Rattus norvegicus: one gene and its partner. The protein of the gene in region 2 purifies or fractionates together with the protein of the main gene of each other region. This does not show direct contact. Links are inferred from orthologs where the notes say so. Each region holds a gene or a part of one and is shown on either strand. Other genes may lie near its edges. The genes, in order: Sprtn and Pold3.

What was found.
Region 1: the proteins of Pold3 (region 2) and Sprtn purify together in Homo sapiens (affinity purification with mass spectrometry; 3 studies listed by BioGRID, with this or other methods). This does not show direct contact. The link is inferred for Rattus norvegicus from reciprocal best matches to the Homo sapiens genes POLD3 and SPRTN.

Annotation. Positions count from the first base shown.
Region 1 is NC_086037.1:69,753,688-69,758,016, reverse strand, and holds the start of Sprtn (DNA-dependent metalloprotease SPRTN), read right to left. Parts: upstream 3,029-4,329; 5' UTR 2,765-3,028; coding exon 2,544-2,764; intron 2,534-2,543; exon of another isoform or gene 2,263-2,533; intron 1,944-2,262; coding exon 1,844-1,943; intron 1,125-1,843; coding exon 996-1,124; intron 1-995. Other genes in the region: Exoc8 (exocyst complex component 8), read left to right, coding at 3,295-4,329. UniProt on the Homo sapiens protein: DNA-dependent metalloendopeptidase that mediates the proteolytic cleavage of covalent DNA-protein cross-links (DPCs) during DNA synthesis, thereby playing a key role in maintaining genomic integrity.
Region 2 is NC_086019.1:163,841,223-163,845,029, forward strand, and holds part of Pold3 (DNA polymerase delta subunit 3), read right to left. Parts: intron 2,778-3,807; coding exon 2,612-2,777; intron 1-2,611. UniProt on the Homo sapiens protein: Accessory component of both the DNA polymerase delta complex and the DNA polymerase zeta complex.

The DNA of each region.
Region 1 (4,329 bases), on a different chromosome or scaffold from region 2:
CAGAGTTTCATTTGGGGACAGCTACTATATTTAATTTCTTTTCCAAAGTTCACTATAATGGGAAGCATCAGGTAATTTAAAACTTCCAACTGTAAATATAGAAGCATGTAAAGCAAGAGATTTTTGTGGGCAAAAAACCCCACAACCAGAAAACACCACCATGAATGAAAATGTTGCAGAGTGAACAACATCATCATTAAAAGCTAGGCCCGAGGATGTTCACCACAACCTTACTAAGCTACCATAGAGAGAAAGACCTGAGACCACAGGGCTGGAGAGATGGCTCAGTGGGTAAGAGGCTACTCTTACAGAGGACCCTAGGTTCAGCTGCCAAGCACCCACAATGCAGCTCACAACCATCTGTAACTCTGGTTACAGAGCCCAGGGATCTGACGCCCTCCCACAGGCACACATGCAAGCGGAGCATCAGCGCACACAGAGAATAAAACTGCACAGAAGGAAAGGTGAGGAGGCACACACTTCCTTAAGTTCCTGGAATGATAAAAACTGCAAAAGGGCCAGATCCTTCCTAAGCAATCACACAAGACCCTCATAGTTAACAACATTGTCAGTGCTCACGGTGCACCGCACATCCTTTACTGTCACGATCTCAAAAGCAGGCACTGCCGTGACGCCACTGCATAGCAGCGATGGTTCCAGAAGAGCTCAGGGAAGATGAGCTGGAGTCACTCCTGAAGGTCCCATGCCTGAAATGCTGGCCTGCAGTTGCTGAAGCCTCAACGAAGAGGCCTGCAGGCTCCTTAGCCACTCTACCCCTAGAGACTAAATGGTAGGACTCTTGTTCAAGGCTGAAAATCTCTTTCTACCTAGTTCCCCTTTGCTGAATGAATGGCTACTAGGCGTGGTGGGACATACCCACAATCCCACCACTTAGGAGGCTAAGTTAGAATTTTGAGTATGAGGCAAGACTGGTCTACACAGCCAAGACCCTGGTCCTGCCTGCTCCCCAAACCTGTGTGGCTCAGTGTACCGACCGTTATGTTGGCTCCTGTCAGCTGGTTGATTCGATGCATGTGTTTACAGAACTCTGGGCCGTGTCCTTCTCGGTCTTTGTCATTATTAGTGACAAATAAGTAAGCATGGATCATTTCGTGCAAGAGAGTCTGAAACACAAAACCAAGTATTGATTTTCTAGGGCAAGTGTGAAGCTAAAATGAATTCTTTTTTAACCTGCAGTCTTAGCCTTCTGCAGAGCCAAGTACAAACCTTTACATATATTCCAAGCTCTACAGAACCCAGTACCCCTCTTCACAGAATGAACGCTGCTTAGGAAGGCCCATTTAACTATGTACCCAAACCCAAAAGGTTGGTGAACCCAACCACACAAAAACTTTAACATCCAATAGAGTCAAAACTCTGCCATGCAGACTCCAGATGCCAACAATGGAAATGCGGACACCAAAAGAGCAAGCAGCCCAGCTCTGAACGGCCACTGGGCATGATCCTGACCCATGATCCCAGACTCAAGGTGGAAGCAGAAGGCTCAGGAGTTTGAGATCAGCTTGGCTACAGCAAGCTCTGCCTCCCTCACCATCAAACCCCCCACAACCCTGCGCCCTCTAAAAATAGCTGGGTACTTGCATGCCAGCTCACTGGAGAGGCTGAGGCAAGAGAAGCATTAAGACCAGGGCCAATCTAAGGAATAGAGACTGTCTCTTAAAATCAACAAAATACCCTGGACGGGAATGGTGATGCACTGTTGTAAGCCCTCAGGCAGAGACCAGAGGATCTTGTGGTTGAAGATAGTATGAGCTACTATCAAGAACACATCATTGAAAAATAAAAATCTAAATGTTGAGGAACCAGTTTATGCGAAGACTACCTCTACAAGGTCCTTTCTTGGTCTGAGTTTTAACAAGGGTTCACTGAGACGGATGGAGCACATGCCTCCTCTCCCTTCATAGGTGCAGATGCCAGCACACCTGGAAAACAGTCACGGACAATGGATTAGGTTCACCCAATGCACAAAGGAGACAGAACAAAAAACAAACCCTCGCCTGGCATGGTGGCGCAGGCCTTTCATCCTAGTCCGTGGGAGGCAGATGCAGGAGGATCTCCCAGTTCCGGGCCAGCCTGGTCTACAGAGTGAATTCCAGGGCAGCCACAGATACATAGTGAGACCCTGTCTCCAAAAAAAAAAAAAAAAAAAAAAGAGCCAGCAAATCCTTATCCTTGGGCAGTTCAACGAAAGTCCCTGATAGAGGGCTTTTTAATAACACTTGATCACCCTCACACCCTCACCCACTGTTATCCTCTCTGCTCCGCACCGGGACTTGTCACGGGGCCGATGTGAAGTTAGAAGTACGCTACGTCTCAGCCTGCTTCAGCTCAGGCTGCTATGTGACGGTGTATATGCAGGGCAGATTATTATCTAGAACAGGATTTCTCAAACTCAGTGGGTAGATGAGGGATCCTGCTGGTACATCTCTGAGAGCCGTTGGGCCACGAGGAGGGGACACACCAACGACAACTCAGCGCCCTTGCCCTTCCCTACGTTCCGAGCCGTTCGTGGGCGCACTCACAGTGTCATGCGCACACTCCACTTCACCTCCACGGCCTCCAGCTGACCCCAGAAGAAGCGATCGTTAAACTGCAGGAAGAGCGCCTGCAGGTCCGGGGTGGGGTCCACCAGCTCCCAGGACGCGTCCACCAACGATAGGGGCTCCCGCGCCGCCGCGCGCCGCGCCGCCTGCACGTCCCACTCCTCCTGCAGCCGCAGCGCGACCACCAGATCCTCGTCCATCCCGATACTCTCACTTCAGCCGCTCCCAAGACGCCGGTCGGGCTCGTGAGGCGTACGGATCTCGCGAGACCTCCCGGCCCCGCTGTCAGGGCGCGCGGGCTCGCCTCGAACGCCTAACCGAAGGTGGCTCGGCTCTGCCCCGCGGACACAGACTTAGGAACGCTGGGCTCGGGGTAGGGACGGCTTCAGGAAGCCAGTTGTCTCCAGACCGCCGCCGAGGTCCAGCGCCTCACGTCAAGTCTGGTCCGTGCCCGACCCTCCTCTGACTTCCGTACTGGCCCGTCCGCGCACGCGCCTTAAGACGCTGCCGTTTCCGCGCAGGCGCGTCGTCGACACTCCGCCCCGGGCGCAGGCGCAGTGTGAGAGTCTCGACTTTGGCACAGGCGCAATGCAGCGCTCGGCCCCGGCGCAGGCGTTTGGGTGTTGCTCCCGCCCCGCTTCCTCTACCGCTTCTCCACCGGGCTCGGGTGGGGCCGGGAGGCGGCGAGTGACAGCCACTGCGGGCCGCGGGAGCAGGGCGGGTGGCAGCCATGTCGGACAGCGGGGCGAGCCGCCTGCGGAGGCAGCTGGAGTCGGGGGGCTTCGAGGCGCGGCTGTACGTGAAGCAACTGTCGCAGCAGTCGGACGGCGACCGCGACCTGCAGGAGCACCGACAGCGGGTGCAGGCGCTGGCGGAGGAGACGGCGCAGAACCTGAAGCGCAACGTCTACCAGAACTACCGGCAGTTCATCGAGACGGCGCGCGAGATCTCCTACCTGGAGAGCGAGATGTACCAGCTGAGCCACCTGCTGACGGAGCAGAAGAGCAGTCTGGAGAGCATCCCGCTGGCACTGCTGCCCGCCGCTGCCGCGGGCGCATCCACGGGTGAGGACACGGCGGGCGCGGGACCGCGGGAGCGCGGGGCGGCCCAGGCGGGCTTTCTTCCGGGGCCGGCCGGAGTCCCTCGCGAGGGCCCCGGGACGGGAGAGGAGGGCAAGCAGCGAACGCTCACCACGCTGCTGGAGAAGGTGGAGGGCTGCAGGGACCTGCTGGAGACACCAGGTCAGTACCTTGTGTACAACGGGGACCTGGTGGAATACGAGGCAGACCATATGGCCCAGCTGCAGCGAGTGCATGGCTTCCTCATGAACGACTGTCTGCTGGTGGCCACTTGGCTACCACAACGGCGAGGCATGTACCGCTACAACGCACTCTACCCACTGGACCGCCTGGCTGTGGTCAACGTCAAAGACAATCCACCTATGAAAGACATGTTCAAGCTGCTCATGTTCCCTGAGAGCCGAATCTTTCAAGCGGAAAATGCCAAGATTAAACGCGAGTGGCTGGAAGTGCTGGAGGAAACCAAGAGGGCGCTCAGCGACAAGAGGAGACGGGAGCAGGAGGAGGCAGCCGCCTTGCGTGCGCCACCACCGGTCACTTCCAAGGGCAGCAACCCGTTTGAGGATGAGGCCGAGGAGGAACTGGCCACCCCGGAGGCAGAGGAGGAAAAGGTTGACCTTTCCATGGAGTGGATCCAGGAGTTGCCGGAAGACCTGGATGTTTGTATTGCGCAGAGGGACTTTGAG
Region 2 (3,807 bases):
GAAATGCTCCTACCTCTGCCTCCTGAATGGTTAACCACCATGCCCAGTGAGACTGGTTCTCTGGGGATATATACGGTTATAACTATAACTACATCACTTTATAGGTGGCCAGAATAAAAGGTTTCCCCAGTTCTCCATAGGCCATTTTTTAATCTAGAGTCCTCTAGATGGCCCCCAAACCCTGCTAACTGGCCTTTTAGTTTTTTAACACACAATTAATAAGCAGCTAATCAGCTATAATACAAAGACCAGGAAGGAAATACTGTTCTCAAGAAGCTCTGGCAGGCCATGCCCATAATTTCCACAGAGAGGCTTCTAAGACTAAGGCCAACCTGGGCCTCGCAGTGAAACCTTGCTTCAAAAGAGGAGCCTGCTCTGGCCAAGTGCACTAGCTACTATAGGACATGATAAAACTTAATGGACAAATAGCTGTGGGATACGACTGTTAAACGCTAGTAGACATTCAACAGGTAGGAAGGGAAGATAAGTATTCTACAGTGAAAGAACAGTGTGAACAAAGGCACAGACAAGACCATAAAGTCATCCTAATGATGTAATAAAAACCTAGACTCTGTCTTGACATTTTTCAGCTTTTCTGTCTGCTTTCTCCATTACAGCTTTCACTTAATCTATAAATAATTAGGGGCCTATTGTGTGTTACAGTCATGTAGATATGTAAGCCAGGGTCTTTTTGTCATTGAATACCTGTCTTATTTCATTTTGAACATCATTTTTTTCCTACTTCAACTAGAAAAAAATAAAATAAACACAACATAAGCCAAAAGAAATAAACATATTAGTGGAAAGCAATGAAATAGAGAAGAAAGAAAAATTTAAAAGCCCAAAGTTGTTCTGTTAAGGAGAAAAGATTAATAAGCCTTTTACAAAAGGAGGAAAACATGTACTTCCAAGTAAGAACTAGAGAATAAAGGAATCTGTAGTCTTAACTATACAGTCTATAAATACTCCAAAAACAAGACTGCATTGTGAACAACTTTAGTAAGTTCAAGCACTTAGAGGAAATAAATTCCTTTAAAAGCACAACTTACTCAAAACCAAAAAGAACTAGAAAATCTGAATAACACTATCTAAAGAAGCTCTCACACACAAAAATAAAAATCCTTCCTATAAAGAAAACCCAGGCCCATATTCACTGATAGATTTATCATATATTTAAATGTACTGGAAATACATCTACATAGGGCCAGAGATGGCTCAGCAGGTCAAGGTGCTTAGTGCCAAATCTAATAAACTATGTTCTATCCCAGGCCCACATGGCGGAAACTGACTCCCTCGAGAATGCCCTCTGTGCCATGGTGTGTACATAGCCCCCACCCCAGACAATAAATATAAAAATAGAAAATAAAGTTCACAAAGTCTTTTGGAAAATGGGAAACTCCTCTTAATTTATGAAGTTAACACAAGTTTGATACTAAAGCTAGCCAATTACCAGCAAACAGATGACATAAAATAGATATTTGAGGATATAGATATCCTCAAAAATATAGAAACAACCCTCCCTCTAGAGTTACATCAACTGATCTAGCAGTGTGTAAAATAGTATGACCAGGGAGCTAATGCTAAGAATGCAAGGCTGGTTTAACATTTTCACGTAAATCAGTATAATCTACCACATTAGCAGAGAAAGTTTATGAGCCACCTTAGTAAAAGCAGAAAGCGGGTGTAAAATGTAAAATCAATGAGTAAAAGCCTCTCAGCAAACCTGGAATAGAAAAGAGAAGAAGCCTCAACCTGGTAAAGGACACCTACTACTAAAAACCTACACTTGACTTGCTGTTCAACAGGGAAATACTGAGTAGATGCCTGGTAACAGCCTCTAACAGTCAGTGTTGTGATCATGGCTGGGGACATTTTAATCCACATATATCATGTGTTCCTGGGAGGTAAGGCCCACTGGACAGAGCCTTACCCCTCTGAAATGTCACTATTTTGTTGCTCCAACTTTACCACAAAAGTTGGTTCTTTGTGGGCCTATCAGTGCTGACAGTGTCCTTTAGAATTTCTTTCAACAGACTAATTCCTACCAGCTATGAGGTAGTGTCTCAAACTCCTGGATCCATTTTTAACAGCTTGTGTGCTTTTTATTTTCTTTTCTAATTACATTTTACCACTTGAAAAATAAACTCATTGATATAAAAAGAAAACAAAGAACTTCTTCTCTTAAACTGGACTGGAAACAGTAACTTCTCACTGGGTAATTTGATGTGAAACACAAGCACACACACACACACACACACACACTCACACACAAGCACACTTACACAGTGTCTACACACACACATTCACACACAGGCACATTTACACAGTGTCTACACGTTTAACCTGAAGTCTGGAGGCAAAGGCAATCCCTTTGCATCAACAGGGACAAATGCAGCCCTGGATCCTAAATCCCCCAAGCCAGCTGCTCTGTGGTCCTGACTCACTGGATGAGCCATGGGGCTTCTGTCTTCACTCTACCTGGATGGCTGCATCCCTAAACATTAAGTGGGACTTAATGCTGAGCTGAAAACTGCCTGCTGCAGACAACCAAGCAGACCATCTCACCTCCACAAGACACTCTCCCCTCCCCCAAGGGACAAAATTTTCCTACCACTTTTTTTCCTTCTGCTGCATCTTCACAGGCTCTGACTTTCTGCTGGATTTCTTCAGAGCTGGGGGAGCTGCCAGCTTTGGTTCAGCGACAGACACTGGAGGTTGCTCCACTGTTTTTTCTTCCTTTACTGCTTGTTCTGAATCCAAATTGACTTTAAGTTTACCTACAAATAAAGTACGGCAGATGATGTACAACCCATCATACAGTAGTAATCCATCACTCTTTGACAGTCCACAGGTAACATGTTAGGAGCAAGGGATAAAAAACAGTCCCTGTCCTAAAGGAGATCACAGTTGATTAAGAAAACATCTGCAATCTTCATTTCTGCTCCTCACTAATCTCTCATTACCTCACAGCTCTAAATGACAGCAAACAAAGACCTAAAAATACCAAATTCAGCTTTGGGGCCTTAACTTTTTTAACTACATCTACTACTTTATTATATGTATGCTGGGTGTGTGTATGCCATGGTATATGTGTGAAGCTCAGTGGTGTATGCTCTCTCCCTCTACCATGCAAATCCCAGGGATCAAATCGTCAGGCCTGGCAGCCCTTAAGTTCATCTTAATTTACAATAGAAACAGAGCTGCAGGTAGTCATGATGTTCAAGAATAGAGCTTAAAACTGGGTGACTGCTACATTCGTAGCAACATCTTTTCTATTCTACCTTTAAAAAAAAATTACTTATTTTGTTTGTATGGGTATTTTATCTGCATGTGTATCTGTGCACCACATGCATGTCTAGAGCCTGTGGAGCCCAGAGGAGAGCATTAGTTATAGATGCCCTGGGTAGTTATAGATGGTTGTGAGCCACCATGTAAGTGCTGGGAATTGAACCCAGGCCTTTTAGAGGAGCAGCCGGTGCTTTTTAACTATTGAACCCTGTATTCTACCTTTGAATGCCTAGATGTTCCCATCTCACTACCACCTTCAATGATAAAACTGAATTAATTCAAATCTGCTTCCCTCTGGGCAAGTCCAAAAGTATTTTTTCTCTTTGAGAACTGGAATAATATTTACAAGACACTATCAGGTACAAACATTAAGTGAGTTACCTAAGGTATCACTGAGAGGAAAAGCAAGCTCTGGATATGGGCCTCAGTCAGTTCAGCTCCTGATCTGGGTCTCCACACTAAGCTGAGACACCACAACACACATAAGCATCCACGTAGGACAGGAAGGACACAGCCAAC